Linked DNA regions of Anolis sagrei. The protein of the gene in region 3 interacts with the protein of the main gene of each other region in a pairwise test. Links are inferred from orthologs where the notes say so. Each region holds a gene or a part of one and is shown on either strand. Other genes may lie near its edges.

Region 1 (6,856 bases), on a different chromosome or scaffold from region 3:
ATCTACAATGCACCTGCAGATAGATTCTATAGTAGAATGGATGCAATTTGACACCACTTTAACTCCAATGTCTCAATGCTATGGATTCTTAGTAGTAGTAGCTTGGTGAGATGCTAAAAACCTGTGTTTGAAAAAGTTTAGCCTAGTTTAATTTTGGCCCCTCCCTACTACAGTGCTGTGCATGTCTGTTGTAGGCAGTTACCTTCAGATGATGCATGTAAGGTGCAGAATCTAGAAGGCTTGGGTCTCACTCAGTGCTGGATTTAGGACAAATGAGGCCATGTGCTAGTTCAGTTAGGAGGGTCCTTCCTTGGGTCCTGAAGGAGGTTGGCCCAGCAGGCCTCCACTGACTGCTTCGTGTCACACTCCCATAGACTATCAACTCTATCATTATGCCTGGAATGGCTCAGAAACTGTCAATATTTGTTTTAGCAGAAAGGGGTCCCTGTACTTCTACACCACTAAACACAATGGCAAATCTGGGACTGGTCCCACCACGTGGATCCAAAATAGGTCTTCACGGCCACTTATGAACCCACTGTTTTGTCTCTACTCTTGGACGACAGTCATACCTGGAAAGGAGTGATCACCCATGAAGATATGCAAGTGTTCGGGGGGGGGGGGGGGGAGCCCTGGAACATGAAACACTTTTGGTCACAAGCATTTCAGACAAAAGAGGCACAGTGTTGCTGGGAGTTTTCCAGGCTGTATGGCCATGTTCCAGAAGCATTTTCTCCTGATGTTTTGTCCACATCTATGGCAGGCATCCTCAGAGGTTGAAGACTCTATTGGAAACTAGGCAAGTGAGGTATATATATCTGTGGAATGATGTCCAGGGTGGGAGAAAGGACTCTTGTCCGCTTGAGGCAGATGTGAATGTCTAAAATCAGGACAGTTAATAAAGAACAACACTAAAAAAGCAGGGGAATTCCATGCAAAAATCAATCAAGGCCACCTAACACCTCCCAACAAAGGATTTCCCTAGGCAGCAACTAGACAGTCTTTGAAGCTACAAGGTCATTAAAATGCTAATCAAGGTGGCCAATTGCAACCGTCACAATTTCCTCAAGCAGACAAGAGTTCTTTCTCATCCTGGACATTCCACAGATATATAAACCTCACTTGCCTGGTGCCCCTGGTGGGTTTAACCCTTGTCCTGGCAGGACTGCTGACCAATAGGTCACTGGTTTGAATCCAGGGAGAGCAGGCTGAGCCCCCTCTGCAGATGGCCAATTCTCTCACACCTGAAGTGACTTGCAGTTTCTCAAGTGGCTCCTGACACACACACACAAACCTCTTGCCTAGTTTCCACCAGACCCCTCAACACCAGGACAGAATGCTTCTGGAACATGGCCATACAGCCCAGAGAACTCTCAGAAACCCAGTGATTCTAGCCATGAAAGCCTTGAGGCCTCATCACACTAGACTAGAGAATGAATCCACTTCATGGACTGGGCTGTGGCACAGCTAGTTAGTAGCCAGCTGCATTAAATCATTACTGACCAAGAGGTCATGAGTTTGAAGCCAGCCTAGGGTGAGAAGGGCGGAATATATGGGCCGGAGGTTAAGCACAGCTGGGAAAACATCAGTAATTATAAGATCTATCAACCAAAAGGTTGCAAGTTCGAAGCCCTGGGTTGGTGTGAGCTGCCAACTGTTAGCCTAGCTCATTGTTTACCTAAGCAATTTGAAAACAGCTTTAGCTGTGATTAGAGAAATTAGGTACCGCTAAAAGTGGGGGAGGTGTTTTATGATGCCATAAAGAAATAAGATCAGAAAATGCTGGGCGACCAAAAGAAGGAAGTCCTAATGGCTCTTCGTCATAGAGGATAGAGCAACAGCATCCCCTGGGCTTGAGCTCAACCTCCATGGCACCTCCTTCTGTTCTGTGTATTGTCTATACAAAGTGGCATTGAATGTTTGCCGTGTATGTGTACTGTGATCTGCCCTGAGTCCCCTTTGGGGTGAGAAGGGTGGAATATAAAGGAAGTGTTGTTGTTCATTCGTTTAGTCACTTCCGACTCTTTGTGACCTCATGAACCAGCCCACGCCAGAGCTCCCTGTCAGCCATCACCACCCCCAGCTCTCTCAAGGTCAAGCCAGTCACTTCAAGGATGCCATCTATCCATCTTGCCCTTGGTTGGCCCCTCTTCCTTTTTCCTTCCATTTTCCCCAGCATCACTGTCTTCTCTAAGCTTTCCTTTCTTCTCATGATGTGGCCAAAGTACTTCATCTTTGTCTCTACTATCCGTCCCTCCAATGAGCAGTCAGGCTTTTTTTTCTGAAGTATGGACTGGCTTGATCTTCTCTTGGTCCAAGGCACTCTCAGAATTTTCCTCCAACACCACAGTTCAAAAGCATCTATCTTCCTTCGCTCAGCCTTCCCTATGGTCTAGCTCTCACATCCATAGGTGACTATGGGGAATACCATTGCTTTAACTATGTGGATCTTCATTGTCAGTGAGAAGTCTCTACTCTTCACTATTTTATTGGTCATTGCTCTCCTCCCAAGAAGTAAGCGTCTTCTGATTTTCTGGCCACAGTCTGCATCTGCAGTAATCTTTGCACCTAGAAATACAAAGTTTGTCACTGCCTCCATGTTTTCCCTCTCTATTTCCCACTTGTCAATCATTCTTGTTGCCACAATCTTGGTTTTTTTGATGTTTAGCTGCAAACCGGCTTTTGTGCTTTCTTCTTTCATCTTGATTAGAGGCTCCTCAGCTCCTCCTCGCTTTCGGCCATCAAAGTGGTATCAGCTGCATATCTAAGGTTTGTTTGTTTGTTAACTGTTTTTATCTGAAATATGTGGCCTGCCCATTGTCATCACTACCATGTTTGTGTTTATTGGAATGTTTATTTTATTTTAATGTCATTTTGATAATGTTGTTGTTGTTTGTTTTATATGCTTTGATTTTATTGCTTTATTGATTTTATTGCCCCATGTAAGCCGCTCCGAGTCCCATTGGGGAGATGGTGGCGGGGTAGAAATAAAGTTTTGATTGATTGATTGATTGATAAGGTTGCTAATGTTTTTTCCAGCAATTTTAACCCCAGCCTTGCATTTGTCAAGCCCTGCACATCGCATGACGTATTCTGCATGAAAGGTGAATAGGTTGGGTGAGAGTATACAATCTTGCTGTTCGCCTTTATTATTATTATTATTATTAATAATAATAATAATATAAATACTGTAAATAAGCAATAAATAAATAAATAAATAAATACGGTTGCCGCGTCCTGCAGAACTCTGTGGTTTGTAGTTTAGGAAGGAGCCTTTAACAGCCTCACTAAACTACAACCCGCAGAATTCTGCAGGAGGCAGAAACCGGATTTGAAGTGGATCCATTCTCTAATGCAGGGGTCCTCAAACTAAGGCCCAGGGGCTGGATGTGGCCCTCCAAGGTCTTTTACCCGGCCTTTGTTCAGGGTCAACGACTTGAAAGCACACAACAACAACAACAATCCTATCTCATCAGCCAAAAGTAGGCCTACATTTCCCATTGAAATACTAATAATTTTATATTTGTTGAAATTGTTCTTCATTTTAATTATTGTATTGTTTTAAGTATTTTTTGCACTACAAATAAGATATGTGCAGCGTGCATAGGAATTCATTCATTTTTTTTCCAAATTATAATCCGGCCCTCCAACAGTTTGAGGGACTGTGACCTGGCCCTATGTTTAAACAGTTTGTGGACCCCTGCTCTAGTGTGATGAGAGGACCAGACAAAGGGGGCACAATCTGTACGTGGGGCGGTGCTGGGGTTGGGGAGGAAAAGGGTGGCAGGTGCTGAGGAGGCGGCTGACCGCTAGGGGCCGATGGAGAGCTAGCAAACCTGCGGAATCAATCAGACCGAGCCCCGCCGTTCTGTCCATCAGCGGATGCGTAAACACAACTGCGACTTGGGCAGGCGACTCCTTCTCCCGAGCGAAGGTGTATCGGGGAAAGGGAGGGAGGGAGGGAGAGAGAGAGGGAGAGGGCGACGAGCGGGCGAGAGAGAGAGAGAGAGAGAGAGAGAGAGAGAGAGAGAGAGGCCAGGCGCAACAGAGCGCGCAAAGCAGCGTAGGCGCAGGAGGCGGCACGGGAGCATCCTAAGAAGAGGAGGAGGAGGAGGAGGAGGAAGCAGCAGCAGGAGCAGCGCCTTCAAGGAGCGGCCCCCTCCCTCCGGCTCCCCGAACGGCCCCCTCCCTCCCTCCCTCCCACCCTGACCAAGATTATTCCGAGGAGAAGAGGAGGCACGCGCGGAAACAGAGCGGCAGCCACGACAATAACAACCAAAACAACAGCAACAACAAGTGGACGCGATTGCCTCGGGAGCGAAATCGGGCGAAGCGAGCCACCGCAAGGCAGCGGGGAAGGAGGAGGCAGGAGGGGACGGCCGCAAGGCAGCGCGCGGCGTGGGTCTGCGAGGCGCGTCTCCTCTTTTCCTGCCAGTAGCAACAGCCAGCTTTCCTCGGGGAGAGAGGAGCGGGGAGAGAGGAGGAGGAGGAGGAGGAGGAGGAGGGCGCCTTCCCCAAGGCCTTGGCTGGCAACAACTGCTTGGCAGAGGCGCGCGCGAGGGAGAGAGGCCGGTCCCCGGGCCACGAGCAGCTCCCGCCCATCTCGCCCAGTCCAGTCTGCTTCTGCGGGAGGCGGCGGCGGCGTTGGATGCCTTCTTTCCCTCAGGGATGGCTATGGGGTCAAGCACAGCGGGAAAGGCAAGACGAAGTGAGCTGCGGCGGGAGCGTGCCCGGAATGCCCCCTAGGACCAACCCTGGGGGTGGCCGTGCCCTGGCTTGCCTTCCCTTCCAGCCCGCGGCTCACACACCAAGGAGGCCCAGCCAAGCCGTCGCCCCTCTGCCTCGCTCCCCTCCTTCCTCCTCCTCCTCCTCCTCCTGAGCGCCGCACCTGTGAAAACAGGTTGCTCAGAACAGCCTCCCCTCCCTCTCTCCCCCCCCCCCCCCGCCCGTTCTTCTCTCGCTTTGCAGATCCTCAACGCTGCCTTTTCTCTGCCTACCGCGGTAAGTAGACAGGGATGGTCCTCCCTCGAAGCTTAGGGGCTATTTTAGATCTCGTTTTAAGGAGATTTTGTCTCTGAAGCATGCTTGTTTTTTTAAAGCCTCAATATGGGTAGTTCGCATGTGGGAGGCTCCGTTGCCTGGCTGCTTGATTCCTCATGCAGCACCACCTCTTCGCTCTAATATTGCCTCATGCTGCCCGTTTCTGTGCTTTTTCTCTCTCTCTCCTCCCTGGAGAAATGTGGTCATCCTTCCCAAAGACAGGTCTTGATTTGAGAAAGTGTATGATGAGCCTTCTCTCCCCACAGTGTGCTTACTGTCATCATGTTGATACATGTATTAAGGGCAGCGCTTTGTTCTAAAAGGATTCTGGGTGGCATTTGTCCATGTTTTTCTCTTGATTATATGTACGCATCCATTAATTTAAAGCCACGGTTGATCACTAACCTACAACCGTTTCCTACCAATCCAGGAGAGCCTTTTTAAATCCATTATACAGGCATAGAGAGCACAGTTGGGCTATTCCTGCAAATATCTCACTGTAAACACACACTGCAACAGAGGCAGACCAGATCTCTCTCTAGTGATAAAAAGCACTGTGTGTGAAACAGTGAATGCAGACAGAGAGCACAACAAGCTGTGCACCTCATTATGTTATAGTCATCACATCTATTCTGCATTCATGCTCATGTTGTTGTTCACAAGTAGATCTCTATATATATTATGTAATGCAGAGATACCTGCATTTCACAGTCTAGGTTTGTATTCAAAATCATCTCCCTAGATATTAAAAAACTCTGAGTGAGATGTGGGTGTGTGTATGCTTGCTTATTCTTCTAACTACATCTATATATAGTCAGATGAACATAGACACAGAAAGATTGTGTGTGCCGCATGTGGGTGCACAATGACAGGGAATGATGAGTAGTGCAAGTAGGCAAATCTGAGCCTTTGATGTGAATTACCTTAATCTGGATTATGATCAATCCTTTTCCCCATCCCCATTTTTTTGTTTTCCTGTATGTACCTCAGGTTACACATGACTGCTGCACAGGACTAACCGAAAGGTGCTCCATTCCTTTCTCTCCAATGGGAAACAAAGAACCAGTGTTTCAACCATCTCCTCCTCATCCACCTTCTCTCTCCATAATTGCTGTTCCAGCCAATGCTTTGCCCAGTTTGAAACACTGTTGAGAGACTGACGGATGTGGTTATGCTAAGACCTCCTCACTGTGTAAACAAAATGAAAACTGGAAGCTCCTTCAACTTTCTAAAGAAATTAATCAGCAATCTCATTTCTAAGCTGTTGTGAGAATACTGGCTGTTTTGCACGTGATTATGCGAGAACTCAAGAGCTTTTGTGAGGGGGAAAAACCTGTGCCCCATCTTCATTTGCTTAAGTGCATCGTTTGCATGATGCAAAACATTCAACACCATGAACTCAGAGCTATGGATTTTTCATAAAGCTCTGAAGAAAGACCTAGCCAATGTGTTTTCACAGATAAAAGGACACCATCCAGATATATTGTTTGGCTACTTCAGAAGATTCTGTACTGTACCTGTGAAAATATTCTTGAGGAATCTTTGTGTCAAAATCCTCTGGACCCTACCTAAGAAATGGAACTCTTGCCTCTGAGAAATCTATGGTGTGAAAACTCAAGTCTGCTGCTAGTCTGAGACAACACTTTTTCGAAAACATGGCTTTCCAAACTTTAGTGGTCTTGTCATTCTCATGCAAAGCACCCAGTGATAAAGGCTGAAAAAACAGACATCTTTTTTCCTTCTTAGTCTTCAAAAACAAGCACATACAACATGGAGGTTGCAATGGTAAGCGCAGAGAGCTCTGGGTGCAATAGCC
Region 2 (7,691 bases), on a different chromosome or scaffold from region 3:
GTGAGTAGATCAATAGATACCGCTCCGGCGAGAAGATAACGGTGTTCTATGAAGTCATGCCGGTCACACGACCTTGGAGGGGTCTACGGACAACGCGGCTCTTCGTACCTTTACCTTACTTAGAACCATATAATGCACTTCAATGCAATTCAAACTACGTTAGTGTTGTGTAGAACCATACAATGGACTTCAACGCAGCTCAAACTACATTATTGTTGTGTAGAACAATATAATGCACTTCGGTGCAACTTAAATTACATTCTTGTTGTGTAGAACCCAGGCATGTAGCCGGGGGGGGGGGGGGCTCGGGGGGCTTCAGCCCCCCCCCGAAATTTTCATGGTGGTTCGCGAAAAGGCCTTAATGGTGCATTATTTAAACTGTTATGTTTATTCATATCATGATCTGATCACCATACTCAATATATCCCATATGCATGGGGGTATTGGGGTAATGATACAAAAGGTTTGCTAGGCTAGACCCTCTTTCACTCAGACTCAGCCTTCCCCCGAAACTCAGCCCCCCCCCGAAACCCCCCCTGAAAAAAATTCAGCCCCCCCCCCCCGAAACGAAATCCTGGCTACGGGCCTGGTAGAACCATACAATGCACTTCAACTGAGTTCAAACTACCTTATGTGGTTTTACACTGAGCATATAATGCAGTTCAATCTGTACTATATGGCGGGTGTAGAATCAGCCTTATTCATAGGGTCGTCGTAAGTCGATGTCAGTTAGCAATTTATCTCCTTTTGGGGACATAGGTAGGGCTAGAAATAAAGTTTTATTATTGTTGTAGTAGTTATTGCTATTATATTTATTAATTAACAACAACTAATATTATGTAGTTAGAGGAACAACAAATTAAATAGTTTCCCCCCCTTTCATTTAATAGGCGTTTAGCTGGCCTTCGTCTCTTATCATTTCCTTCCCTTTATTTCCTTGACGCTTATCCCACTCATCAAGTTTAAATCTGTGATCTCAAATACCACTTCTACGACTTGTATTTGGAAAGATCGATGCCAAATATACCCCACTTAAGTATCAGCCCTACCAAACCATGCTCTCCTCTCCCCTCTCTCTGTTGGTGTGTATGTGTGTGTATATATATGTGTGTGTGTGTTCATCTCGGTGTTTAGGAATGAGGGGCGACGAGATCTATTTTCTCACATCATTCCTATTTTGGCGGGAAATGCCAGAAGCTGATTGGCAACGTCCGTAAAACCGAAGCAGCCCATTAAAAAACCACGACCAAAAAGAGAAAACAAAGTTTTTCTTTAATTAAAGGGAAAGGTTGGTTTGTTTGTTTTTCCCTATTCGAATAAAGCAATAGTACCGTTTTAGAAGATATCCCTGTTGAAAAATAAACAAAAACTCCTTAAATATAGTTTTCCAAAGGCCATTCTGTATTGTGCTGGAGGCATGAGCGCAGGAGTAATGAGCGCAATCGCTATTCAAATATTTGTACAAGATCACCATTCTTGTGAGAAAGGGGATCAAATGAGAAAGCAGTTTCTACAGAGCCTTATTTTCTCAGAGGAACAGGCATTAAACTCAAATGCACAAGGCTTTCTCCTCTTCTCTAGCACTCAAAAAACACAGTGCGGAATTCACGCGAGACCGGGGAGGAGGACTATTCCACAGCATCCCACTGGAGAGTAATTGGCCTTGGCTGAACAAACCGGGCAGCCTCTCCTCTTGTAAAGGGCCGCGAGCTTTGCAGCAAAGTCGCAACATACCAGAAAGGAAGGGCGCGCTGGGTGGAAACTGCCCCGAGTGGCCTCCTAATCCAGTCCCTAGGCCCCGAGTCCTAGGCGACATGGAGCCAATGGCTTGGCACCCCTTCTCTTCCCCCCTTTCTTGGCGAGCCCGCAGGTGCAGGAGGAGACTGGGACACTTGCAAGACAGCCCGGGAGCAAGACCCGTTGAGGAGGCTTTGTTCTGAAGTACAAATATCGTCAGAAAAGACCTGACACGGGGCAAGCCCCACACGAGGACCATTTCAAGTGTTCTTCAATCAATGGGCTGGGAGAGTTCTGTTTTGGCTGAAGCGCCTGGTAAGAGTGTGGCAGGACTGGCACTGCAGAGTCAACTTCTGTTAGGAGTGTCTATCTATCTAGACAGCCATCCATCCATCCATCCATCTAGCTAACTAGTTAGGCGTGCGTGCATAATGTCTGTCTAGCCATCCATCCATCTATTCACCTATCCATTACTCCAGCCAGATAGCTGCTAGATGGATGGATGGCTAGATAGATATTATGCACACACACCCTTACCTAGCTGGCTAGATGGATCTTATTTATCTTGTCTAAAGCGAATTGAGAATACAGTTATAGATGGATGGATGGACTGACAGATATTATACACGTACACCTAACCGGATGGGTGGATAGATAGATAGATAGATAGATAGATAGATAGATAGATAGATAGATAGATAGATAGATAGATAGATAGATAGATAGATATTATGTACACAAACACACCTAACTGGATGGATACATGGTGGATAGGTAGGTAGATAGGTAGGTAAATAGATATTATGTACATAAGCACACTTACCTAACTGGATGAATAGATGGTAGATAGATATTATGGACACATAAACACACACACACACTTACCTAAATGAATGAATAGATAGGTGGTAGATAGATAGATATTATGCACACACACACACACACACGCACACACACACTTATCTAACTAGGTGGATGGATAGATGGTAGGTAGGTAGGTCGATAGATAGATAGACAGATATTACACACACACACACTTACCTAACTGGATGGATAGATGGTAGGTATGTAGATAGCTAGATATTATGCATACACAAACACACACACACACACACACACACACACTTACCTAACTGAATGAATGGATGGTAGCGAGTTATTATGCACACACACACACACACACACTTACTTAACTGGATGGATAGATGGTAGGTAGGTAGGTAGGTAGATAGATATTATGCGCGCACACACACACACACACACACACACTTACCTAACTGGATGGATAGATGGTAGCTAGATATGCACACGCAAGCGCACACACTTATCTAACTGGGTGGATGGATAGATGGTTGGTAGGTAGGTAGGTAGGTAGATATTACGCATACACAAACACACACACACTTACCTAACTGAATGAATAGATGGTAGGGAGATATTATGCACACACACACACACTTACCTAACTGGATGGATAGATGGTAGGTAGGTAGGTAGATATTATACACATACACACACACTTACCCAACTGGATGGATGGATAGATGGTAGGTAGGTAGATATTATGCATATACAAACACACACACACACACTCTTAACGGAATGAATAGATGGTAGCTAGATATTATACACACACACACACACACTTACCTAACTGGAATGATAGATGGTAGCTAGATATTAGGTGTGCATGCACACAAATACTTACCTAACTGAATGGATAGATGGTAGGTAGGTAGGTAGGTAGGTAGGTAGGTAGGTAGCTATCGCGCACACACTCTTACCTAATTGGATGGATGGTAGATAGATACATAGATATTATGCACACACACACTTACCTAACTGGATGGGTGGATAGATGATAGATAGATGGATATATATATGCACACATACACACCTAACTCGATGGATAGATGGTAGGTAGGTATATAGATATTATGCACACACGCACACACTTACCTAACTGGATGGTGGATAGATAGATGGATAGATATATTATGCACGCATACTGGATGGATGGATACAGGCATGTAGCGGGGGGGGGGGGCTCGGGGGGCTTCAGCCCCCCCCCCCCCCCGAAATTCTCATGGTGGTTCGCGAAAAGGCCTTACTGGTGCATTATTTAAACCGTTATGTTTATTCATATCATGATCTGATCACCCTACTCAATATATCCCATATGCATGGGGGTATTGGGGTAATGATACAAAAGGTTTGCTAGGGTAGACCCTCTTTCACTCAGACTCAGCCCCCCCCCCCGAAACTCAGCCCCCCCAACCCCCCCCTGAAAAAAATTCAGCCCCCCCCCCCCCCGAAACGAAATCCTAGCTACGGGCCTGGATGGATAGATATACATTATGCAGACACACCTAGCTAGGTGGATACATAGATGGCTAGATAGATAGGTAGGTAAGTCACAGGTATATATGTGTACATATATACATACAGCACTCGTTGGATAGAAAGATAGAGTACCAAGTCCTGTAGTCCTTTGGGCAAAGAGTCGAACCAAGAAACCACTTTGCCTACAGGCGCTGCAGGAGGAAATTCTAACTCTGCAGAAGGGGTACCCACACCCTCCCCCCCACCTTGACATAATGGCTTCTCCTCCCCTTCGCATTTTTAAGCTGGGGGCGCAATGGGCAAGTCCATCTGCTTGGTGGAAGGAGGGGGCGAGTTGGGGCAGGGCAATCGCCTCCCCCCACCCTCGCTGTGATCTCTCTCTCTCTCCTCTCTCCCCCCCCCCCCCCCCATTTCTACAGAGCGAGAAAGGGCGGGAGAGTCTTGGGGGCGAGCGGAGCAGAGAGGGAGAAGAGGAGGAGGAGGAGCATCGGAGGGGAGAGGCGGGGAAGGCGTCCGGGCAGGCCAGTCGTGGCTGAGGCGCCTGCGGGGGCGTCCCTGGCGGCGTGGGCTCCCTTTTCCCTCCTCCTCCTCCACCTCTCGGGCTGCGGCCATGAACGGCTACGGCTCTCCCTACCTGTACATGGGGGCCCCGGTCTCTCAGCCCTCGCGGGCGCCTTTGCAGCGGACCCCCAAGTGCGCGCGCTGCCGCAACCACGGCGTGCTCTCCTGGCTCAAGGGCCACAAGCGCTACTGCCGCTTCAAGGACTGCACCTGCGAGAAGTGCATCCTCATCATCGAGCGGCAGCGCGTCATGGCCGCCCAGGTGGCCCTCCGCAGGCAGCAGGCCAACGAGAGCCTCGAGAGCCTCCTCCCGGAGTCCCTGCGGGCCATGCCCCCGGGGGGCCCCGCATCCGCGGCCTCCGTATCCGCGGCCTCCCCCACCCCGCCGCCGCCGCCCCCCGCAGCAGCAGGAGCTCTCCTGGTCCTCCCCGCAGAGGGACACCCCACCCGCACCCCCGCCAACGTCGAGATGGCCCTGCGATGGGCCTCCGAGCAGAGCCCCAACGCCGCCAATGCTGCCAACGCCGCAGCCCTACAGCCCCAGATGCCCAAAACAGGTAAGGAAAGGGAGCGAGGGGGTGGTTCTTTGAATTCCCATTGAATTCCCCCCTTGGAAGGAAAGAGAGTCTCCTGCTGTAAGGAAGGGGAGATAGAGCAGGAAGATCTAGTCCAGGCATGGGCCAACTTCGACCCTCCGGATGTTTTGGACTTCAACTCCCACCATTCCTTGGTGGGAAAGGGCTTGAGGCTGTTAGGGATGGTGGGAGTTGAAGTCCAAAACACCTAGAAAGAGGGCCCAAGTTTGCTCAGACCTGATCTAGTCCCCCCTCCCTCCCCAGATGTGGCAGGTTTAGGGTCAAGTAGATTCTCATCTCTTTATCAGTTTAGACAGAAGCGTTTCTTCAACTGAAGTCCTCGAACTGGCGAAAGCCGTTTAAGCGACAGTGCTCATAAGCATGTGTAGTGAGTTCCCTCGTTCGAGGGACTTGGAAACAGCTCCTCCTGGCTCTTTGCAGCTTCCAAGCAACCGAAGAAGGAAGGGACAACTGTTGCTACTTGTCCCACTGAATTCTCCTCGGAAATGATGGGACTCTTTAGCTGTAAGGAAGGAATATATAGCCTGGATCTGCACTGCCATATACAGTATATTTTTATTTCGTGTCAGGAGCGACTTGGGAAACTGCAAGTCACTTCTGGTGTGAGAGAATTGGCCGTCTGCAAGGAAGTTGTCCAGGGGACGCCTGGATGTTTTGATGTGTTACCATCCTTGTGGGAAGCTTCTCTCATGTCCCCGCATGAGGAGCTGGAGCTGACAGAGGGAGCTCATCCACGCTCTCCCTGGATTCGAGCCTGCGAGCTGTCGGTCTTTAGTCCTGCCGACACAAAGGTTTAACCTACTGCGCCACCGGGGGCTCCATCTGCTATCCGATAGGTCAGCGGTTCAAATCCGGGAAGATCGGGTTGAGCTTCCTCTGTCAGCTCTAGCTCCCCATGCATCAAAACATCCTAGCGGACTTGCAGTTTCTCAAGTCGCTCCTGACACAAAACAAAAGTTCAAACTGCACTATACTGCAATACTTACTTACTTACTTACTTAGGCGAGTCCTCCTTGGCCGAGTAGGATAGTCTTCCAGGATCAGTATTCTTGTGGATCCGTAGGTGACTGTGGAGTCCTATTCTTGACCTGCATCTTCTCCCGCAGTGAGGGCATTGGTTTTGGTCAGGGTTAGCTTGAGGCACCTTCCTCTTCGCACGTTTCTCTCTTTCACCCTCCATTCGTGCCTCTTCAAATTCTGCAGCACTGCTGGTCACAACTGACCTCTAGCTGGAGCGCTCAAGGGCCAGGGCTTCCCAGTTCTCAGTGTCTATGCCAGAATTTTTAAGCCTCTACGTTCATCAGATGGAACCAAACTCCTGAAGGACCAAAATTAAATTGCACTAAGTTGAAAAGAACACTACCAAAGCCTCCTGAACCCCAGCTCCAATGTGGCCGAAGAGGTTCTCTCACAAATCCCTCAACAACAAACCAGGGATGAGCTTGCAGCACTGCCTAGTTTGGAAGAAGTCAGCAATGTCATCTGCCAACAAAAAATAACAAAGCCAGCGGACCTGATGGGATCCCTGCTGAAATCTTTAAAGAGGGAGGACCTGAGCTGACACAACAACTCCACCAGCTCATATACGCAATATAGATGGGGTCATGGGGGTGTCTATTTCCCCTCAGATGTAGCAGCTATGTGTTTGTGTATAGGGGCGGGGGGGGGGCAAGTGTAGAACCCCCTTGTTCAGAGACTTAGGCCCTATCTACACTGACCATTTTATGCCATTTCGAACCAGTATGGAACCAGTGTGCAAAGAAGTAAAGTGGCTTTTTTGCACAGATGATTAGATAGAACATTCTGAAACCAGCTTGAGGCCTGGAGGGGGGTGACACAAAGAGCTGATGCGTACGAGGGGCTTTCTTTTGCATCTGCCCGCCACGGCCATTGGAAATTAGCATCGAATTGCATTAAATGGTCAGTGCAGATGGGGCCTTACAGTCAGCTTCTCGGCGGCGCCTGAAGAAACGACAACTGTTGCGCCTGTAGCTTGGGAGCCAGTTCCACTTCATCCTCCATATAAACTGACCCCTGAGTGACTCTGTCCAGCTGTCAGGAAAAAAGATGTAGAAAAAGGATGAGGATCCGGCCTCTGAATGTTGGCCGAATCTGCTTAGCCTCCATTTTTGGATAGGCCGGATGAGGATCCGGATTGTCCCATGAGGTCAGGAGGATCCACGGGGAACTTACTGAACACAGGAAACTGGTTTGCCCTTCAATAGGAAAGAAATAGGAAAGAAATAGGAAAGAAACCCTTTCAAAGGCTTCCCCCTTGACACACTAGAGAATGAATCCACTTTAAAGCTGTCTCCTGAGGTTTGTAGTTTAGTGAGGCTGTTCAAGGCTCCTCCCTAAACTACAAACCCCAGAATTCTGCAACCGGATTTAAAGTGGATTCATTCTCCAGTGTGGTGAGGTTAGACGTCGTGTTGGACTCAAGGAGGCGGTGCT
Region 3 (7,451 bases):
GTCTCTGTTCTGTGTGATTAATGTGTATTTTACAGAAATGCTTTGATCTGTGTCTTCTATGGAACTGAATTTTAATGTGTGTTTGTAGAATCTTTATAGTATTTGTTTGTTTTTAACTATGCTGTGACCCATCTTGAGCAGTGCTGAGAAGAGGATATGAAATAAAATTATTATTTTTCCAATAACTTGAGCTGCTTGTAATGTGAAGGGGGGAAAAAATCACCCAACGAATTAAGTTAAACAAACCTAGACTCAAGTTCACATTATGAAATGTTCCCTGTATGAAAGTCTATCTCCCCTGATCCTGAATCTGTTTGAGCCATATTTAGAAGAAGTCTGCCAAAGGTGAGATCTAATCTTTTACAAGTAGGCCATCTTGTCGTTCAACACAGTTCAAGGACACGAACTGTTGACTCGACAGGAACTGTTGACTAATTTTCCATGACGTTTAGCTTTGCAAAGAGGGTGGAGGCAGTACAGCCTCTTTCACAAGAGCAGGGAGGGGTTATTTTGTCAACGCAGAGGAGGCCAAAGTATCTGGGCCCAACAAGAAAAGCTGTTTATGGAACAAACAGTTCTCCATTTGTACACGTGTACCTTTGCACTCAGCATTCTGCAAGCAAGGCATTTTCAGTACAGCTGGCCTTCCATATCCACAGATTCAATCACCCACAGATTGAAAATGTATTTTTAAAAAAGAATCCAAAAAGGATAGCTTGATCTAGCCATTTTATTCAAGGAACACCATTACAGGAGAGATCAAGGGCCTACTTTACCAGCAGATGGGTTATGTGACTCCAGAGCTTACAGAAACATTGACCTGTAAGTGATATCACTGATGCCATCTACACAGACCATTTGATGCAGTTCAAAGTTCACTGTAAAGCAGCCAGCCTGGTATAGAACTCCCACAAATGTGTGCAAATAGCACTTGTGTGGAAGATATAGATGCAATAACTATAACAAACTCTTTCCCCCATCAATCCTGTTCCTTTTCTTCAGTGATATAGCAGATAATTATAGAATTCTAATCTACGAACCAGAGCTCCACCACCTCTAACCCCACCTTTACTTTCCTTGTGAGTGCGAATAATATTGTTTTTATTTTTTAATATTAAAAAAAGCTATATTAAAGGTAAAAGTTTCCCCTGACATTAAGTCTAGTCGTGTTTGACTCTGCAGGGTTGTGCTCATCTCCATTTTGGAGCCGGCATTGTCCGTGGACATCTCCAAGGTCATGCGGCCAGCATGACTGCATGGAGCTTCCTGTAGAAGTGGTATCTATTGATACCACTTCTCACTTTTGCATGTTTTCGAAATGCTAGTCTGGAAAAAGCTGGGGTTAATAGCAGGAGCTCATCCCACTCCCCAAATTCGAACCACCAACCTTTCGTTGAGCAGCTCAATGGTTTAACCCGCTACAACACCAGGGGCCCCTAATAAAAGTCATGGACACACCAAAAAAAGAGAGAAAAAGGAGATAAGAAAAAAGTATGCTAAAGAAAGTCCTTAATACTCTTTAACACTCTGTGATTTGTGTAATCACCCATCCAGGCCTCAAACTGGTTCCAGCATTTTCTATTCAGCCATCTGCGCTTCCAATACCAGTTTGGAACGGCATTAAATGCAAGTATAGATGGGGTCCAAGTTTCTCTGGGTCTAATGGGGCTCACTTCCAAGCAACTAGACATTCAAATGAAGAATGAGGAAGAGAACCACCCTCTCTAGCTGATACCAATACTTCCTTAAAGCAACTATTGAGGTGAGGGAAGTAAAAGGAGAACAAAGCCCTTCCCTTTTTGTTGTTTTTCAAAAGCAGTTTCCTTAGATGTGGGTCACAAGGCATCTGGAGTTAGCAGATTAAAGGGGGGGAAAAGGCAAATCAGCCATGTCAGCACTCATGATTGGGAGGAGATAACCTTGGACTCCAGCTCAAACTTTGACTTTACTTTCTGGCCACATATTTAGAAAAAAAAAACCTGTATCATCATAGCTGAGAATGGATGGGATTTGGGTTTTTGTAAGTCTTCGTGACAAGTTTCAGGTCTTGTAGTCACCAAAAAGCAAGCACCCCTTTTTCTGTGTATATATCAGGAACGGGTAAACTTTGGCCCTCCAGGTGTTTTGGACTTCAACTCCCACAATTCCTAACAGCCTGCTGGCTGTTAGGAATTGTGGGAGTTGAAGTCCAAAACACCTGGAGGGCCAAAGTTTACCAATGCCCCATATATATATATATATATATATATATATATATATATGTATGTATCAAAAATAAAAAAGAGGCTAAATGGGTATACTTGGGGTTTAACTTTATTATGTTGGGTGGATTCTTGTCTAATGTTTATTCTCATTGTTTTAATGTTTATTGCTTGTTTTATGAGTTTTAATTATTGTTGTATTTGTTATGCTGTTGTTTTATTTATGTATTGGGCCCCGGCCTCTTGTAAGCCGCACCGAGTCCTTCGGGAGATATGAACGGGGTATAAATAAAGGTTTATTATTATTATTATTACATCTGTCTTTATTGATTAGTTCCTGTCTGTCTGTCTACATCAGTGGTTCTCCACCTGTGGGTCCCCAGATGTTTTGGCCTTCAACTCCCAGAAATCCTAACAGCTGGTAAGCAGGCTGGGATTTCTGGGAGTTGTAGGCCAAAACACCTGGGAATTCTCAGGTTACGAACCGCTGACCTACACTGGTGTAGGCCTTCCGCTCCCTTCCGGGCCAGGCGAGAAGGCCAGATACCTTTATGAGGCGCAGGATGTCGGCGCAGTCCTCAGGCCGCGCGGCGCGGATAACGAACGAGTCCATTTCCGACGGCGTTTCCCTTTGCGTCCCCCGCCTCGATTGAGTCCCCGATAGTTGAAGAGCAGGAGGAGCAGTTTCTTCATTCGCGTCCTGGGCGCAGCGGCGGCGAGACACGGGTAGTCAGGCGGACAGCATCCCGTAACGTGGGCTTAGGAAGGAAAACAAAGCGACCGAATCCGGAAGTCTCTGTGCTGGGAACGTGAGGAGGGCCGCCGAATATATAGGCTGCTGCGGCCCCGCCCACTCGCCACCCTGTCCAATCAGCGCCAGGCAGCCTCCCCTCTCTTCTCGCGCACCGCCCCTGACGTCATCCTTCTAGGAAATGACTCACTCGGGCGGGAGGCGGAAGGCAAGGCGGCGCCTAGGGTGAGGTTGCCCCCTCCTGGGGAAGCCCTTTGCCTTCAACTACACTGAAGAAGTGATACAGGGCTCTTCCACACAACTGGACCAAATCCCACATTCTCTGCTTTGAACTGGAATATAGGGCAGTGTGGACTCAAATAACCCAGTTCAAAGCAGATATTGTGGGGTTTTCTGCCTTGATATTCTGGGTTATAGGGCTGTGTGGAAGGGCCCTGGGCCCTTCCACACAGCCCTATAACCCAGAATATCAAGGCAGAAAACCCCACAATATCTGCTTTGAACTGGGTTATCTGAGTCCACACCCAGATAATGTGGGATATCCTACCTTGATATTCTAGGATATAGGGCTGTGTGGAAGGGCCCTAATACTATACTCCATGCTACAAACTCATGTCTGGACTTGATTAATACTATAATTCAAAATACAAATGTGACTTAATGTAACACTGTTTTACTGTTTAATAAAAAGAGTTTTAAAAAGTATTCTTTGTCCCCTTCCACACAGCTGAATAAAATCCCACATTTTCTGCTTTGAACCTGGATATATGGCAGTATGGATTCAGATTGAAGCAGGTATTGCGGGATTTTCTGCCTTGATATTCGGGGTTATATGGCTGTGTGGAAAGGCCCTTAGGGTCTATAATACTCCTGTGGCTAATAATAATTCCAAAGACATTTGAATTTGCCATTCTATATAAGTCACTCTAAATGCTTTGGATGATACATGTTTTGAATTTTGTTTTATTTTAATTTGGAATTGGAATGCCTGTATTGATATGTCAGATACAAGATTTTATTATTTATCGTATCAGGGGCAAACCAAGGGTATAGTTGTGATGTATTTGAGAAAACACAATGTTTAAAAGCTTGGCATTATATTAAATGTCCTTTGACCAGTAACTGGCCACTTGGAGTGCCTCTGGTTTTGCTATAAGACAGGAGTCTTCAAACTAAGGCCCGGGGGCCAGATACATCCCTCCAAGGTCAATTACCCAGCCCTCGCTCAGAGTCAACCTAAGTCTGAAATGACTTGAAAGCACACAACAACAACAACAATCCTATCTCATCAGCCAATTTTTTTTTTGTCGTGTCAGGAGCAAGTCGCTTCTGGTGTGAGAGAATTGGCCGTCTGCAAGGACGTTGCCCAGGGGACCCCTGGATGATTTGATGTTTTTATCATTCTTGTGGAAGGCTTCTCTCATATCCCCACAAGGGAGCTGGAGCTGATAGAGGGAGCTCATCCGCCTCTCCCTAGATTCGAACCTGCGACCTGTCGGTCTTTAATCCTGCCGGCACAGGGGCTTAACCCACTGCGCCACCGGGGGCTCCTTCCCATTGAAATACTAATAAGTTTATATTTGTTAAAATTGTTCTTCATTTTATTGTATTGTTTTAAAGTGTTTTTTGCACTACAAATAAGATATATGCAGTGTGCATAAGAATTCATTCATGTTTTTTTCCCAAATTATAATTCGGCCTCCCAACAGTTTGAGGACCCCTGCTATAAGACTTTCTTATAGCAACACCAGATAAGGGATACTTAACCTGTACAACTTTATTGTTTCATTCTTAAACCGATAGTAAGACACGAGACTTCAGATCTACAAGCAGCTTAATGAAAATGTATAACCAGTGATTCACTGACCATCTGGATCATGTTCAGCGACATATTAGCTTTAGTTAGCTTTTCTCAAAAATAAAATGTGCTGAGCCTGAACAAATCTTTTCCGGTTGTCCTCAGCTGAGAAATAAAAGATCATACCAGCATTTTTCGCATTCTAAGACACTGATAATTGTAAGACACACACTAGTTTTATTACCACCAACAGAAAAAAAGGTTTGTTAATATATTTAAAACACCCTTGAGTCTAGGGGCCCTTCCACACAGCTATGTAACCCAGAATATCAAGGCAGAAAATCCCACAATATCTGTTTTGAACTGGATTATATGAGTCCAATTCAAAGATGATCCAGTTCAAAGCAGATAATCTGGATTTTATACAGCAGTGCAGAAGGGGCTTGGGGTCAGATCTTTGGATATAGGGCAGTGTAGATCTAATCTAGGTGAGCCAATTAACACACATTTAGGTGTCACAACAGGACTTTCCTGTTTCAGATAAACCAGGACAGTTTCACTGAGAACGATTTCATGGGTTAAACTGGCCACACGCCCACAAAGAATGCTTAATCCTCTCTACAAGCAGGCTATTGCCCCTGGATGACTTTACAGGAGGCTCCACCCCACGTCTTTCAAAATACAATTCATAGCAAAGGACTGAATCACCATACTGTGTAACGTACATAAGTGGCAATTTCCATTTCTTGTTCAGGATATTTATTCCTAATTCTGAGAAGTGAAAAAACAGTCCTCAGATACGTTTCTCTAAATTTTTATTTCCTGCCTGTACTAATGTAAGGGTTATCTAATCACAGTCAAAGATGTATAAGGTGAGAAAATACCAAAGATATAAATCCAGGGAGCACACCACTCCACTGTTGTGCCAGCTTCACTGGCTGCCTGTCCACTTCCGAGCACAATTCAGAGTGCTGGTCTTGGCCTATAAAGCCCTATACGGTTCTGGCCCAGCTTACTTGTCCGAATGTATCTCCCTTTACATCCCGCCTCATAGCTTAAGATCATCCGGGGAGGCCCTGCTCTCGGTCCCGCCAGCCTTGCAAAGGGACAAGGCCTTCTCGGCGGTGGCCCTATGCCTGTGGAACTCGCTCCCCAGCAAGATCAGGTTGGCTTCTTCCCTCCTTTCTTTTTAGGAAGAAGGTTAAGTCATGGCTCTGAGACCAGGCCTTTAGAAAGCAAGCATGACAGCACCTTGGATGTTGAACCGGACTGAACTTGGCTATATGGTTGATTACAATGTTTTTAACATGTTTTATCTTAATGTTTTATTTACTATTTTAAACTGTTGCTATTTGTGCTTATATTTGTATTGTACTGAGGCTTCGAATTGTGGCCGGTTTGTAAGCCACCCAGAGTCCCCCCTCGGAGGTTGAGAAAAGTGCAATAGAAATATTGGAAATAAATAATAATAAATAAATCAAATTAAGCTGTTATTGATAGACTGAACTGCCCAAGACATTTTGCCAACTGAGACAGAAGACAAACTGGGCTTAGCACAGCAGACAAAACCACTGTGCTGCGGAAACATCCCGCTGATCAAAAGGTCAGCAGTTTGATCCCGGGGCAGGGTTGAGCACCCACCGTCAGCCCCAGCTCACCTGCCCACCTAGCAGATTGAAAGCAGAAATGCGAGTAGATAAATAGGTACCGTTTTTAGTGGGGACATAATAAAAACCCCTTAAAGACATCATTGGGAGGTAGCTCCTCGGCATGGAAGATGGAGTGACAGCACCCTCCATGGCCAGAGTCGAGCACACCCTCCAGGTTGCTGGAAATAAGATGGGGAAAAACTGCCTTTTCCTCTGTTGTGTTGTCTGCCCTTGTTAGTTGTATAATCAGCATTTAATGCTTGCCATGTGTGTGTTCTGTAAGCTGCTCTAAGTTCCCTTCAGGGTGAGAAGAGTGGGATATAAATACTGTAAATAAATAAATACTGTCCTGTTACCAAATCCATTCAAAATAGAGTGCCCAAGCAGGATGGGCCAAACACAGTTTCTATTTTGGTGCCTCAAATGTAAAGATATATAACTGAATATCAAACTCAGGATTGTCCACATCATTGTATTACATGTTTCTATGTACGATTGTGAAGATAGTAATATCACTTGAAATAATGGTGAATGAAAGAGGAGAGTTCTGCAGATATCAATAACTGCCAAAAACAAAAACAAAAGAACCTAGAGTTGATCAAACCTGAACACTCCCTAGAAGCCATGAAGACAGTTATGCTTTGGGGGATAGCACGAGAAGATATGAATTCTTAGACAGGACATAATGCGTGGCAATAGGAAAAGGAGACTATGGATGCACCTACACTGTGCAATTAATGCAGTTTAACATCACATCACACTTGAGAAAAAAATCCACTTTAAATCCAGTTTCTGCCTCCTGCAGAATTCCGGGGTTTGTAGTTTAGTGAGGCTGTTAAAGGCCCTTCCCTAAACTACAAAGCCCAGAATTTTGCAGCAGGCAGAAACCGGATTATATGTGGATTTTTTCTCTAGTGTGATGCGGCCCTATTAGAATCATAGAATTGGAAGAGATTTCGTAGGCCATCCAGTCCAACCCAAAACCAAGGAGCAGGAAACTTCAACTGCCATGGCTCAATGCTATGGAATCATGGGAGTTGTAGTTTTCTGGT
Region 4 (7,196 bases), on a different chromosome or scaffold from region 3:
ACCTTTCTCCACACTGAAGGTGACTAACAATCACACATATTGACTCAGGATGTCTGGGAGTGTGGTAGAGCCTCCTTCTCTGGAGTTTTTTTAAGCAGAGGCTGGATGGCCAACTGTTTGGATGGCTTTGGTTGTGTGTTCCTGCATGGCAGAGGGTCCTTGGGTTCTATTTCAATTCAATGATTCTATGATAGTGCATCTCTACAGTATAGGACAGGCACAGGCAAACTTGGGTCCTCCAGATGTTTTGGACTTCAATTCCCATAATTCCTCACAGCAGTGGTTCTCAACCTTCATAACGCCGCAATCCCTTAATACAGTTCCTCATGTTATGGTGACCCCCAACCATAAAATTATTTCTATTGCTACTTCATAACTGTAATTTTGCTAGTGTTATTAATAGTCATGTAAATATCTGATATGCAGGATGTATTTTCATTCGCTGGACCAAATTTGGCACAAATACCTGATACGCCCAAATCTGAGTACTGGTGGGGTTGAGGTATTGATTTTGTCATTTGGGAGTTGTAGTCGCTGGGATTTATAGTTAATCTACAATCAAAAAGAATTCTGAACACCGCCAACAATGGAATTGAACCAAGCTTGGCACACAGAACTCCCATGACCAACAGAAAATAATGGAAGGGTTTGGAGGGCATTGACCTTGAGTTTTGGAGTTGTAGTTCACCTACATCCATAGAGCACTGTGGACTCAAACACTGATGGATCTGGTCCAAACTTGGCACAAATACTCAATATGCCTAAATGTGAACACTGGTAGACTTTGGGGAAAACAGACCTTGACATTTGGAAGTTGTAGTTGCTGTAGTTACAATCAAAGAGCATTCTGAACCCCACCAACAATAGAATTGGGCCAGACTTCCCACACACAACCCCTATGACCAACAGAAAATACCGTGTTTTCTGATGGTCTTCAGTAACCTCTCTGAAACCCCCCTCGCAATCCCCCAGGCGTCCTGACCCCAGGTTGAGAAATGCTACCTAACAGTAGGCTATTAGGAATTGTGGGAGTTGAAGTCCAAAACACCTGGAGGGCCCAAGTTTGCCCGTGCCTGGTATAGAAGCAATACAGTTTGACACCATCCCAATGCTGCCACTGTACCTTTGACTGCCAGTCGGATCATCATGGTGAGCTTCTGGAAAACGCGGGCCCGAGCCAGATCTTTTGGGCCTTTCACATTCTTGACCTTGGACCATTTGTTGTGTCCAGCAAACGCAGCCCAGGAGGCGTGGATGGGCCGACTGGGGTGCTCCAGGAAGGTAAAAAGATGTTGCCGGAATAAGACATTCGCCCGTGTGAAAGAGAGGCCCACCGACATGGCCTAGGAGGGACAAAGAGGAGCCTCCTTGGGGCTAACATTGAAATAAAACATGAAGGAAATGTCTACTGTTAAATCTCTAGATCAGTATTTCTCAACCTTCCTAATGCCGTGACACTTTCTCATGTTGAGGTGACCCTCAACCATAACATTATTTTCATTGCTGCTTCATAACAGTAATTTTGCTACTGTTATGAACTGTAATGCAGGATCCAATATGCAGGATATATTTTCATTCACTGGACCAAATTTGGCACAAATACCCAAAACACCCAAATTTGAATACTACTCGGATTGGGTACGGGATTGATTATATCATTTGGGAGTTGTAGTTGTTTTCATTTATAGTTTGCCTACAATCGAAGAGCATTCTGAACTTCACCAATGATGGAATTGAACCAAACTTGGCACACAGAACTCGCATGATCAACAGAAAATACTGGAAGGGTATGATGGGCATTGACCTTGAGTTTTGGCATTGTAGTTCACCTACATCCAGAGAGCACTGGGGACTCAAACAATGATGGATCTGGACCAAACTTGGCACGGATACTCAATATGCCCAAGTGTGAACACTGGTGGCATTTCGGGAAAATAGACATTGACAATTGGGAGTTGTAGTTGCTGGGATTTATAGTTCAATTACAATCAAAGAGCATTCTGAACCACACCAATGATAGAATTGGACCAAACTTCCCATGCTGAACCCCCATGACCAACCGAAAATACTGTATTTTCTGATGTTCTTTGGTGACCCCTCTGACACCTCTTCGCGACCCCCCTAGGGGTCCCGACCCCCAGGTTGAGAACCACTGCTCTAGAAAGACAATATACAACATACAATATAATCTATTTATACACATTTCTAATTTTTTTAATCATCTACATAGGGCCTAAGTAGACTAAAGGAGCCCCAGGTAGCACAATGAGTTAAACCGCAGTTCAAATCCAGGGAGTGGAGTGAGCTCCCACTGTTAGCCCCAGCTTCTGCCAACCTAGCAGTTCAAAAACATGCAAATGTGAGTAGATCAATAGGTACTGCTCTAGCAGGAAGGTAACAGCGATCCATGCAGTCATGCTGGCCACATGACCTTGAAGGCATCTACGGACAACGCTGGCTCTTTGGCTTTGAAATTAAGATGTGCACCAACCCCCAGATTCAGATACAACTGAACTTAATTTCAAGGGGAAACCTGTACCTACGTAAGTAGACTAAAAGCCTCAGATCCCATCTGATCTTGGAAGCTAAGCAGGGTCCACCTTGGTTAAAAGTTGGATGGGAGACGACCAATGAAAACCTCTAGGTTGGCAGAGGAATGGTATGGAATCCTGGGAGTTGTATTTGGCTGAGGCAGCAGCACTCTTTGGCAGGGAAGGTTTAAATTCCTTGTAAAACTACAACTCCCAGGATTCAATTGCTTTGAGCCATGCCAAATAAAGTAGTGTTAAACTGCATTAATTCTACAATGTAGATGCTCAGGCCTGTGTTATGATCAAAACATTGACACTAGGAGGTGAGTCCCAATTGGGAATGGTTAGGTTTCCATCAAATGCAGCAATGCATTGAAAAGACCCCCAACTTCCACAGAGGTGCCCAGAACCTACCTACACACAACGGCGCATGCGTCCTAGAGTTCCGCAGACGTCATCCCGGCAGCCCCGCCCATTAGGGGGCGGGGCTTTGTAGTGTTTACTCTTTAGTTCCCGCGATACCAGAAGCTGTTCTCATGATGTCATTTTCTATTTCTTTTTTCTTTGTACTTTTATTGATTTCGTTATTATTTTTAAAATATCTTCCAATAAAACTTAACTTTGAATATGTTTTGATGGATTTTAACTGTGATTTTTTTAGTGCTATTTGTGTTTGATTCTGTTTCAAAGTTTGTGTATGTGTATATTTTAAATTGTATACTAATGCTTTTATGGCAAGTTGCTTTGAGTCCCCTTTGGGGAGATAAATATAATATTATTATATTAAAAATACTAAAATTGGAGATATAGGAAAGGAATGCTGAAACTGGACATGAGTCTGAAGCTTTAAAATATAAAAGAATAGAACCAACCTGGGCACAGCATATTATTTGAGAATACAGAACTGCTGGAGCGCTCTAACAACCACCAGACTACACAGAGAAGCCACTAAAATCCATAAGCATATGGACAATTTCAACAGAGAAGAAAACCATGAAAATGAATAAAATCTGGCTACCAGTATTTTAAAAAAACCTCTAGAATCAGGACAGTAAACAGAGCAACGCTCAAAAAACAGGGGAATTCCAGACAAGAATAAATCAGGGCCAGCTAATACCTCCCAACAAAGGATCCCCAGGCAGCAACCAGCCAGGCTTTGAAACTGCAAGGCCATTTAATGCTAATCAAGGTGGACAATTGCAACATTCACACTTGCCTTAAGCAGACAAGAGTCCTTTCTTTCACCCTGGACATTCCACAAACCCCACTTGCCTAGTTTCCAACAGACCTCACAACCTCTGAGGATGCCTGTTATAGATGTGGGTGAAAAGTCAGGAGTTAATGCTTCTGAAACATAGCCACACAGCCTGGAAAACTCACTAATTCAAAATAGATGGACTTTGCCCTATTTGTCTACAAATAATTTATCTTACTGTTTTTTAAAAAAAATAGAGATATATTAGATGACTAGCCAATGCCTGCCACGTGTTGCTGTGGCCCAGTCTGTGTATATGTGTTTTGTGTATGTATATATGTGTATATATGTGGTTTTGCACATGAATTGTCATGTTGTTTTTTTGTTTTTGGCTTTTAAAGTCTCTTCTACTGTGTTTTTTTAGTGTTTTATGAGTGATGGTCACTTGTTGGTCTGATAGATGTATTGTGTCCAAATTTGGTGTCAATTCGCCCAGTCGTTTTTGAGTTATGTTAATCCCACAAATTAACATTAAATTTTTATTTATATAGATAACTAGCCATCCCCTGCCACGCGTTGCTGTGGCCCAGTCAGGTGATCTGGAAAATAAAATAATGAGAAAGTGTTGGTTTATAATATATGTCATTTCTTTATGCTTGTGGGTAAACAGTATTTCTTATTGTTTCCTTGTCAGTGATGATGTGGAGAGTGTCTGGTTTGCCTACTCTGGAATATGCAACATATCATAGTCCTTCTTTAGGGGGTCCCTTTTAAATCTATGAAACTATATCTGTGTGTGTGTGTGAATCATATCTATCTATCTATCTATCTATGTCTATGGCTGGATGGCTCTTTGTCAGGAGGGCTCCGGTTACATTTTCTTGCCCTGGTGAAGGGTGCTAGACTGGATGGTCTTAAGTATTTTCTGTTGGTCATGGGGGTTTTGTGTGGGAAGTTGGCCCCAATTCCTGTCGTTTGTGGGATTCAGAATGCTCTTTGATTGTAGGTGAACTATAAATCCCAGTAACTACAACTTCCAAATGTGAAGCTCTATTTCCCCCAAACTCTGTTTGTGTGCATATTTGGGCATATGGAATATTCGTGCCAAATTTGGTCCAGATCCATCATTGTTCGAGTCCACAGTCATCTTTGGATGTGGGTGAACTACAAAACCAAAGGGCACTGCCCACCAAATCCTTCCAGTATTTTCTGTTGGTCATGGGAGAAGTGTGCCAAGTTTGGTTCAGTTCCATCGTTGGTGGGATTCAGAATGTTCTTTGATTGTAGGTGAACTATAAATCTCAGCAACTACAACTCCCAAATGTCAACATTCTATTTTCCCCAAACTCCACCAGTGTTCACATTTGGGCATATTGAATATTCTTGTAGAGTTTGGTCCAGATCCATCATTGTTAGAGTCCACAGTCATTTTTGTATGTGGGTGTACTACAACTCCAAAACCAAAGGGCACTGCCCACCAAACCCTTCCAGTTTTTTCTGTTGGTCATGGGAGAACTGTGTGCCAAGTTTGGTTCAGTTCCATCGTTGGTGGAATTCAGAATGCTCTTTGATTGTAGGTGAACTATAAATCCCAGCAACTACAACTCCCAAATGACAAAATCAAAAGATTTTGAGTGAAGGACATACATTTGGGTTGTTAGGTGTATGCTGTCCAAATTTGATGTCAATTGGCCCATTGGTTTTTGAGTTCTGTTAATCATTACAAACATTACATTTTTTATTTATATAGTTTAATAATTAATTAATAGATTAAAATATATATTTCTTTTTGCATAAGTACTTTCTCTTCCCGTTTATACCTAGAAACATAGGTCTATCATTGCCCCTACAATAGGAATGCTGGAACTGGAGATTTCTCTAATGATGCATCTTAAAATAGTTATTCCTACTTGTGAGCCAACTGCGCATGCGTAAAGTGTAATAACATGCGGGGAGGAGGGCAGAGCGATGGCAACGGAAACTCGTCCCCTTGTGCCTTTCAGAGTGACAGCCCTACCAGCTTATCGCCTTCGCCCTCTGGAGGGCTTAAGCCCGCCTCCTCCAGATACCTGCCGTTGGAAACAGTTGCAGAACAGGATCTGCCTGCTTCAGGAAGTGGACTGTGGGAAAAGAGAGGCAGGGAGTGAAATCCAAGGGGCAGATGAGGAAAGGAAGGTAAGATCAGGGCTGGGGGGCTGCCTGGGTTGATCCCAAGTGATCCCAGGATCTCTGCCCTTCATTTTAGGGAAGATCCATGGGAGACTTGTGGGCCAGATTTAGGAAAGACACTAAAGATGCATCTACACCAGGTATGGGCAAACTTGGGCCCTCCAGGTGTTTTGGACTTCAACTCCCACAATTCCTAACAGCCGGTAGGCTGTTAGGAATTGTGGGAGTTGAAGTCCAAAACACCTGGAGGGTCCAAGTTTGCACATACCTAGTATAGACTATGGAATAATTTTCCAGAAGAGATCTGACAGCTTGACAAGCTGTCAAAATATGAACAGAATTAAAGACCACTTTAATTTGACAGCTCTTGAACTGTCATTGCTCAATGCTATATGGTATTCTCTGTTTATCTGAAAGGAAAAGGCAGAAAGTCTTGAGGCAGCTTGTGAGACTAACCAATTAATTTTAGCAGGGGTTTTGAAGTCTTAACTCTTTTGACACATTGTTTGATTGACCAAAGCAGGAAGCTCAGATCCGCTTTGTAGATCAATGTTTTTCAACTTTCCTAATGCCGCAACCCCGCAATACAGTTCCTCATGTTGTAGTGACCCACAACCATAAAATTATTTTCATTGCTACTTCATAACTGTAATTTTGCTACTGTTATAAATCGTAATGTAAATATCCGATATCCTTGGAAGGGCTCAGAATGGTCTTTGATTGTAGGTGAACTATAAATCCCAGCAACTACAACTCCCAAATGTCAAGGTCTGTTTCCCCCAAACTCCACCAGTGTCTGATATGCATTATGTATTTTCATTCACTGGACCAAATTTGGCACAAATACCCAATACACCCAAATTGGAATACTGGTGGGGTTGGGGGGGGGGGATTGGTTTTGTCATTTGGGAGTTGTAGTTTTTGGGATTTATAGCTCACCTACAAACAAAGAGCATTCTGAACTCCACCAACGAATTGAACCAAACACGGCACACAGAACTCCCATGACAATATACATAAGCATAATAGAAATCCTGGAATTAGAGGTTTGTCTTATGATGTATCTTAAAATATTTATTGCTTCCCTAGTAGCTACATCCAGAGATTTCTCAACCTTTCTCAACCTTCCTAATGCCGTGACCAGTTAATGCAGTTCCTCGTGTTGTGGGGTTTTTTTTTTTGTTTTGTTTTGTTGTGTCAGGAGCGACTTGAGAAACTGCAAGTCGCTTCTGGTGTGAGAGAATTGGCCATCTGCAAGGACGCTGCCCAGGGGATGCCCAGATGATTTGATGTTTTTTTTA

The links.
Region 1: the proteins of SAT1 (region 3) and KCNA4 interact in binary tests that used the Homo sapiens proteins (3 or more experiments, as listed by UniProt). The link is inferred for Anolis sagrei from reciprocal best matches to the Homo sapiens genes SAT1 and KCNA4.
Region 2: the proteins of SAT1 (region 3) and DMRT3 interact in binary tests that used the Homo sapiens proteins (3 or more experiments, as listed by UniProt). The two-hybrid records come from large-scale screens. The link is inferred for Anolis sagrei from reciprocal best matches to the Homo sapiens genes SAT1 and DMRT3.
Region 4: the proteins of SAT1 (region 3) and TACO1 interact in binary tests that used the Homo sapiens proteins (3 or more experiments, as listed by UniProt). The two-hybrid records come from large-scale screens. The link is inferred for Anolis sagrei from reciprocal best matches to the Homo sapiens genes SAT1 and TACO1.

The regions. Positions count from the first base shown.
Region 1 is NC_090021.1:259,342,365-259,349,220, forward strand, and holds the start of KCNA4 (potassium voltage-gated channel subfamily A member 4), read left to right. Parts: upstream 1-3,843; 5' UTR 3,844-5,001; intron 5,002-6,030; 5' UTR 6,031-6,810; coding exon 6,811-6,856. UniProt on the Homo sapiens protein: Voltage-gated potassium channel that mediates transmembrane potassium transport in excitable membranes. Forms tetrameric potassium-selective channels through which potassium ions pass in accordance with their electrochemical gradient.
Region 2 is NC_090022.1:221,028,442-221,036,132, reverse strand, and holds the start of DMRT3 (doublesex- and mab-3-related transcription factor 3), read left to right. Parts: upstream 1-4,690; coding exon 4,691-5,198; intron 5,199-7,691. UniProt on the Homo sapiens protein: Probable transcription factor that plays a role in configuring the spinal circuits controlling stride in vertebrates.
Region 3 is NC_090023.1:86,790,843-86,798,293, forward strand, and holds the start of SAT1 (diamine acetyltransferase 1), read right to left. Parts: upstream 3,002-7,451; 5' UTR 2,815-3,001; coding exon 2,749-2,814; intron 1-2,748. UniProt on the Homo sapiens protein: Enzyme which catalyzes the acetylation of polyamines. Substrate specificity: norspermidine = spermidine >> spermine > N(1)-acetylspermine. This highly regulated enzyme allows a fine attenuation of the intracellular concentration of polyamines.
Region 4 is NC_090026.1:17,631,943-17,639,138, reverse strand, and holds the start of TACO1 (translational activator of cytochrome c oxidase 1), read right to left. Parts: upstream 3,014-7,196; 5' UTR 2,946-3,013; intron 2,940-2,945; exon of another isoform or gene 2,544-2,939; intron 1,375-2,543; 5' UTR 1,341-1,374; coding exon 1,124-1,340; intron 1-1,123. UniProt on the Homo sapiens protein: Acts as a translational activator of mitochondrially-encoded cytochrome c oxidase 1.